Macaca mulatta: one gene and its partner. The protein of the gene in region 2 purifies or fractionates together with the protein of the main gene of each other region. This does not show direct contact. Links are inferred from orthologs where the notes say so. Each region holds a gene or a part of one and is shown on either strand. Other genes may lie near its edges.

Region 1 (3,521 bases), on a different chromosome or scaffold from region 2:
CTAGCCTGGGCAACATAGCAAGACCCTGTCACTGAAAAAAAAATTTTTTTTATAAAAAATAATTTAGCCAAATTGATAGGTGGTGGTGTGCTTATGTTTTGTATACCTAGTACAGTAAGCTATGAAAAGAATAATACAAGTGACTACTACTCTCTCTGGAATTGGAAATGCTTGGCCATACATTTTTTAAAAGTTACAAACAGCTCCACGTTTTTAAACAGAATAGAACTCCCTCTAAAAGCAGAACTATCTCCAAAAGAAATATTAGGAATGTTTTTAAATGCTTAGAGCTAGGTTAAACAGCTTAATTCAAAACATATTTAAATGTTATATGGTGAAATATCTTCTCTGTCCTCTGAGGTCTTTGGCATTATAGAGATTCCTTAGTCTCCTTCAAGCTTGTTCAAATTCGAGGTTTCCTTAAGAGTCTCTTTAGGAAGTAGGTTGGTGTTAGGCCAGGCACAGTGGCTCATGCCTGTAATCCCAGCTACTTGGGAGGCTGAGGTGGCATGAGAATTGTTTGAACCTGGGAGGCGGAGGCTGCAGTGAGCCAGGATTGCACCACTGCACTACTGGCTGGGTGACAGAGCGAGACTGTGTGTCAACCAAAAAAAGAAGTAGGTTGGTGTTTATATTGAAAATAGGAACAGAAAACAAATTATCTGTACTTTTTAGGATCTAAGTTGAGAATAAATTAATTTTTTTGCTTTCTCTAGCTGGAATGGCTTTACTTGTGTATTATTTGGAAAAGATTATTTTGCATTAAAGTCAAACTTACAGAATTGACTCTTGAATTCTAGACTAACTTTGAATAATTGGACCTGCAGATTGACTATCCACCATTTGAAAAAAACTTTTACAATGAGCATGAAGAGATAACCAACCTCACTCCACAGCAGTTAATAGATCTCCGACATAAGCTCAATCTTCGGGTAAGACAATCATTAAGCTCAGTATTCTTATATCAATGTTAATTAGTCCAGATTTAGTATTATTATTGGTTATCTAAACTAATAACCTTGAATTTCTTTTCTAGTGATCTCTGAACTGTCTTTGCCAGAATAATTATTATGTCCCTTCTGTTCACGTCTCTTAATTTGATTGTTTTAGTCTTCTAGATGCTGTTTTAGGATAAGATCATTTTCTTCTTTCATATTTCAGTGAATTTTGTATGTTCTGTGCTGGATGGGCTAGTGATGAAGGGTGGGAGTCCCCATCTAAAGGAAGAGGAAACAAAATTAATAGATGTTAACATATGATATCTTAGAATATTTTGAAATTAATATAAACTTGTCTGTCAAATTACATATAGTATGCTTTATTTTAAAAATTAGAATAAATTAATACCTTTTAAAATACACATGCACTGATTTCAGAATGGTTTAAACTGCCTACCAAAAGTTTTGAGCTGCACATTGGCTACATTGGTTTAAGGTGCTGATAGATGGTAAATGAAACACACAGAAAGAATATGCTATGCTATCTACTCTTAATATAGACAACTTTCTTGCCTGTGTGCACCTTATCAGTTGCTACACGATGTTTAAACTCCTGTTTTCCAGGAGGGGTGTGTATTTGGTGTGTGTACACTTGTCTGTTTTCCAAGAGGTACTCACCTCCCCAATGACCCAAGAAAATTTTTAAGTAAAACGTTTAACATTTTTTTCACTTAAAAATTTTTAAGTGAAATCCTGACTGGAAATGTCAGCATCACCAGAGGAGCGTTGAAAGGTTACTACTTTGGGGGACACAATGGAGATTATAAGCCCCATTCTTCACCTGGGTACAGTTTGAACAGGGCTTGACAGTGGCTAGACCATCAGTCACTAAGGGAGACGTTAATTCATCAGGCACAACTGAAAATGGAGGCAGTAGATTATGTCTTTGTAGCCAGCATATGTAGAGTTGTCTTATTTGGAGCCAACTTGGAATTTTCATTTCAAAAGTAAGATACGTTAATTTTTTTCTACCCTCTGGTTAATGGTTATGTAAAATGGCAAAAGAAAGAACAGTAATGACTTCCCAATTCATTGAACAGTTTTTTTTCCATTTTGTTTGTTATGAGAAAATTAATTTTGATTTAATAAATTTTTAGTTAATCATTTAAAATTGTATGACAATTATCTTGGGAATATTTGTCATGGAGTTTTTAATATGGGGTTTATATTTGTTACCATTTGAGGTTTTGCCTTTTCATTGTATGATTTTGGCTTACAGACTTGTATTTTCACTTCATACTCCAGCTAAAATGCTAGATCCAGGTAAGTATTGTTGAACTTCAAATGCTGTTAATGTTGAAGTACAAGTCATTCTGGGGAGTTGTCTCTATCTCTAGGTCTCTGGTGCTGCACCTCCTAGACCAGGAAGTAGCTTTGCTCATTTTGGGTTTGACGAACAACTTATGCACCAGATTCGGAAATCTGAATACACACAGCCCACTCCAATACAGTGTCAGGTACGTAAAACATAATGAAAGAAAAATAAAGTAGGGTAATCTTTTGTGACTATATTAGTTTAAAAACAAATCACAGTAGTAAAACTGTTTAGTGTAGAACCTTATTGATAAGGATAGAGGTATTTATTACTCTAAGAAGTCACTAAATGGCTGGCAAATATTCTTTTGTATCTGATACATATCTTGAAAATATGATATGAAGAAAATAATTTATTAGGTCTAAACGTAACCATAAAGGTTTGTATATGGACAAGTTTAGTGCTGTCAATGACTAGAATTCCCTTGTCCATCACTTGAAAATTCTCATTCATTACTGAAAGTTTTAGCTTCTTTTTCCCATTTATATATGGGACTTATTTATTCTTATGAAGAAAATTCTCATTTTCTGTATATGAATGAGATAGTCTATACCTCCTCAAGGGGAGAAAATTTTTAAAAATTTTAGCAACCCTTCATTATAAATTGCGATCTTTCTGGTTTTTTTTTTTTTTTTTTTTTTTTTTTTGAAGACGGAGTCTCACTCTGTTGTCCAGGCTGGAGTGCAGTGGTGCGATCTTGGCTCACTGCAACCTCTGCCTCCCAGGTTCAAGCAATTTTCCTGCTTCAGCCTCCCGAGTAGGTGAGATTACAGGCGTATGCCACCACACCTGGCTAATTTTTTGTATTTTAGTAGAGATGGGGTTTCACCATGTTGCCCAGGCTGGTCTCGAGCTCCTGAGCTCAAGCAGCCTGCCCACCTCGGCCTCCCGAAGTGCTGGGATTACAGACGTGAGCCACTGCCCAGCCTTGATTTTTCATTTCTGTATTTTAAACAAAATGGAGTTGTTTCAGTTCTGTAAGTGGTGGCTGATATCCACATAATGAGAATGATGTCATTTCCTATAAATTAAGAAGTTAATGAGAATGTTGGATATTGATATTTCTATTTCACAACCAGTATGCATAGCACCGGATATGTTTTGTTCCATTGCATATAAAAATGTCATTAGTAGTCATTTATCCTTCCCCAGGATTTGCTTCAGTACACCTTTAGAATTGAAATTTTAGAGTGGTTATATTTTACTTT
Region 2 (3,975 bases):
AAGTTAGGGAAAACTGGAGTCCAAGTGGAAGGAGATTACTACAATAAATTAAGTGTTAAATAATGAGGGAATGAGAGACTGAACTAGGGCACTGGCCATGGGGAGAGATGCCACTGATATTAAATAAGACTTGGTATTAAGAGTGGGGTGATAGGGAGCAGTCAAACATCACTCTCAGATTCATGAATTAAGCACCTGAAAAAAAAGACTGCTAGAGAAAGAATGGGTTTGAAGGAGAGGGACAGAAAAATGACGCTATCTATTAAGCAGCAGCATTAAAGCATTAAGGATCCGGAATGTCAACAGCTATGGACTAGAGATACAGATCTAGGAGGCATCAGTATATGCTCAATTAAAACTATAGATATATGCAGAAAAGAGAAACAAGCACAAAAATCTAGGCACAAGTAGACAAGAGTCTATCATGGTAGCTGAGATTAAGGAGTCAGAGGGGTGGAGGATCTAGAAAAGCAAAAGCAAAAAGAGACGAGAATTTCAAACAGGAGGACACGACTAGTTTCAAGTACATCAGAGGTCAAACTAGATAAGGAGGAGAAGTGTCCCTGAGATTTGGCAATTAGGTCACCACTTTGAGCTGGAGTCAGAGAAGAGAATGGAACTAAAGGTTAAAGAAATAAAAACCAGCAAGTATAGTCTTCTTGTCAGAAAAACTTAAGAAATGGATACAGGGAGGTGGATGTTAGAGAGTATTTTGTATGTTTTTATAATAGAATGTCTGAAGGAAAGGAAACTCTGAAACTGTTACTGTTGAGGAACAAAGGGCAGCAGGGTGAGAGGTAACAGAGATGCTCTACCAAGCTCTTCCCTCCCAACAAAGCACACCTACCTGGATGGGGCATCCCACCTGGTGGGAATGGGTGAGGATGTGAGTGTCCATGACCAGGATGTCCTGCCCCTGGGGTTCCTGCCGATGGGGGGCCATGTCCTGCAGCTCCAGGAGGCATAGGTGGTGGGGGCATGGCTGGGGGTATCCCAGGTGGGAGGGCTCCAGGAGGTGGCACTGGGGGTGGGAAGGAGCCAGGAGGAGGCATGCCTATAGAGGAAATGGAAAAAGGAAAAGTTAATGGTAGTGAGGAGAAAATGTCTTTAAAGAGCCTGTCCTGATCTGGCCTCTCTGGGCAGGGTGAGCTCTTTCCCCCTCCTCCCAGTGCTCTAAAATCAAAAGCAATGTTAGAAAAGTCAACCAACTTCACCCTCCTAAAGAAACCCAACAACTTTCTTCTCCACCACTACCATCACCCCTCAGTCCTCTTCCCATCACTCACTGACTCCATGTCCCATCCCCCTTTCAGGCTCTTTTTTTCTTCCTCCTGACTCTCTCCCCCAACCTTAAGACAAACAAATTTTAACCAAAAGCTTTACCTGGTGGAGGAAGCCCAGACCCCAATGATGATACCACAGGATTGGGGGCAGAGGGTGGAGGAGGTGCATCTGCAAACAGCTGATGAGGGCGGTCAGCCTGGGAGAGCGGGTTCTGAGCTGCCAGAAGTCGTTCGGCTGCTGAGCCATGGCGCTCACCCTTGGAGTCCTTCTTGAAGGCATAAGATACGGTGATAGGGCGGTTACAGAGGTACTGCCCATTCATGGCTTCAATTGCTGCATCCGAAGCATCAAATGAAGCAAAATTAATAAAGGCATAACCTTTGGAGTTGCCTGTGTCAGGGTCCCGCATAATCTTGGGGGTTTGTAAGATGACCCCAAAAGCGCTGAAAGTATCATAAAGCAACTTCTCATCAATCTCAGGGTCCAGGTTCCCAATGAAAATGTTGGCCCCTACATCCAGGTTTTTGTTGTGGGCTGATGCTTTGTTCACCCGTATTGGCTTCCCATAGAGTTTGATCATGTTCATGATCTTAATGGCATAGTCAGCATCTTCCTCACTCAAGAATTCCACAAAGCCATAGCCTGGAGAAGTGGAGAAGAGGAGGTTAACAACATAAGAGATTGAAAATGGGGTAAAACTCATCTACCCTCTAATCACAAAGAACAAGAAAGAAACAATCTCACTTAAGAATGGTTCCAGAAATAAACTGAACAGAGGCTTAAAAGAAAGAAATACTTTAGGTTGCTCATGTTATTCCAAAACAGTTGTGAATACTGCCGGGACCCTCCGGAAGCAAATTGCCCCTTGTCATGTACTCACCTTGGTGCTGGCCAGTGACTCTATCCTTTGGCATGTGGGTGTTGACTACTGGTCCAGCCTGGAGAAACAGTTCCCACAGCAGTGGTTCACTAACCTTCTCATCCAGGCCCCCCACGTACACAGTGGCATCTGAAGGGAGGGAGCAGAAAGTTAGAGCAAGGGTGAGAGTATAACATGAAAGAAGGAGGTGATGGAAACATGAAGATGGAACCCAACCGGGGGAACTGGGGACGCGGGTAGGGGACAGGAGCAAAAAAAAAAAGTTAAACCCTTAAACTTCTCTCTCCAGGACTTCAGGAATCCTCTGAAGTCTAATTTAGTATTCTGAGTGGATTTTTTTGTTTTTTTGAGTGAGAACTCAGCAGGGGATTGGACGTAAGTATCACACCCACAGGCCTCAGCCAGCACCTGGCCACCCCGCCCCCAGGAGGCACGGGGCCGGTCTCGCGCCCTCTGGGGAATGGATGAGTCCAGTCTCCCACCCCTGCAGAGGCACTTCTGGCTGTAGTAGGGGCCTCCTAGCCACGCTGAGCCCATTCCAGACTTTCCCCCTCCAGTTACCCTGGTTCCGCTCGGAGATCGGCCCGGCAGCCATGGCGAAAGAGCTCCCGCCGTCTCCCAGCAGCGGTTCCGCCTTCTGACCTCAGCACGACTTCCACTTCCGGGGCGAAGGAGGACGTAGCGCTGGGCGGAGCCGCGGAAGAGGAGGGGCCTGGAAGCGGCTGCAGCCATTTTAGGAGCCTCCAAGACTTAACTCGGGTTGGGCGGTGGAGTCCTCGGCACCCGCGCAGAGGTGCTGCTGCTAGTGGTCTTAGCGAGGAGGGCGGAACGGAAACGCTCAGACCGTCTTAATGCACTGCTAGACTTGAAAGAATCACACTGCTCCCAAAAATGTAAATTCGAAAGCTAAAAGAACAAAAACTTCAGTTTTCATGTATTTTGTAGCCAGTGATGATGTTTTGTTGTCCAGAGAAGGATGTGCTGAAGAGTCCCCCCAACCCGAGGACTTGGCTGCTTTCAGGCGCAGAGGGAACCCTCCATCTCGCCTGCAACCTTCTTGCAGATTTGGCCTCAACAGCCCTGATTTGGGCTGGAGGTATTTGGTTTTCCCTCGGGGAGGAGACTGCGAAATGTCTGAGCTGGAGTGACGTCTGCGCTCATCTCGTCGTAATTGCATGGGGAGGGTGAGGGCTGCTCCAAGGTGGTGTGTGACCACAGGTGAGGGGTGGATAGGATCGGAGCTCAGAGACTTCAGTCTGGATCTCTAGAACAATCTGGCCCCATCTGCCTCTAAATGGGAGACACACACAGAATCCTTTCCCCAAACTGCACTTGAATTCTGCAGAGTCTCACCAAATCCAGTTCCCCTATTTCCTTAGCAATAATACAGTAGATGCCTTCCTCTCTTGGATCATACCCACCTTTTACCCACCACTTTCCTACCTAGGAGAATCCTTTATTCAAACACAAGAAACAATGCCAGTAATGTGTATAAATACTATGCTTTAATGAGCCCCTTAAATAGAAAATTCCGCTACAAAAATACAGAGGAGACAGGGTGTTTCCTGTATCCGCCTCATTCCCATAGAAAACTATAAGGGAAGAAATAGAAGTTGGAATTAAAGCAGCAGCAAGGCGAGGTGAGAATGCGATCTGTAGGCCATCTTGTTGGGACTGATGAACAGCATCTCTGATCTCACGATTTAACATCTGGTTATCCAGAAGGGATGGAACTGGTCTAAAAAAACCGATCAATTTCTGGATTGTTTTTGTTTCTTAATCCTTCAAATGACAAGAAACAAAAATATCCG

Evidence for each region. The genes of interacting proteins can lie anywhere in the genome.
Region 1: the proteins of SF3B4 (region 2) and DDX42 purify together in Homo sapiens (affinity purification with mass spectrometry; 3 studies listed by BioGRID and IntAct, with this or other methods). This does not show direct contact. The link is inferred for Macaca mulatta from reciprocal best matches to the Homo sapiens genes SF3B4 and DDX42.

The regions. Positions count from the first base shown.
Region 1 is NC_133421.1:73,599,125-73,602,645, forward strand, and holds part of DDX42 (ATP-dependent RNA helicase DDX42), read left to right. Parts: intron 1-827; coding exon 828-932; intron 933-2,335; coding exon 2,336-2,455; intron 2,456-3,521. UniProt on the Homo sapiens protein: ATP-dependent RNA helicase that binds to partially double-stranded RNAs (dsRNAs) in order to unwind RNA secondary structures. Unwinding is promoted in the presence of single-strand binding proteins.
Region 2 is NC_133406.1:117,227,404-117,231,378, reverse strand, and holds the start of SF3B4 (splicing factor 3B subunit 4), read right to left. Parts: upstream 2,812-3,975; 5' UTR 2,760-2,811; coding exon 2,726-2,759; intron 2,294-2,725; coding exon 2,165-2,293; intron 1,927-2,164; coding exon 1,384-1,926; intron 1,055-1,383; coding exon 848-1,054; intron 1-847. UniProt on the Homo sapiens protein: Component of the 17S U2 SnRNP complex of the spliceosome, a large ribonucleoprotein complex that removes introns from transcribed pre-mRNAs.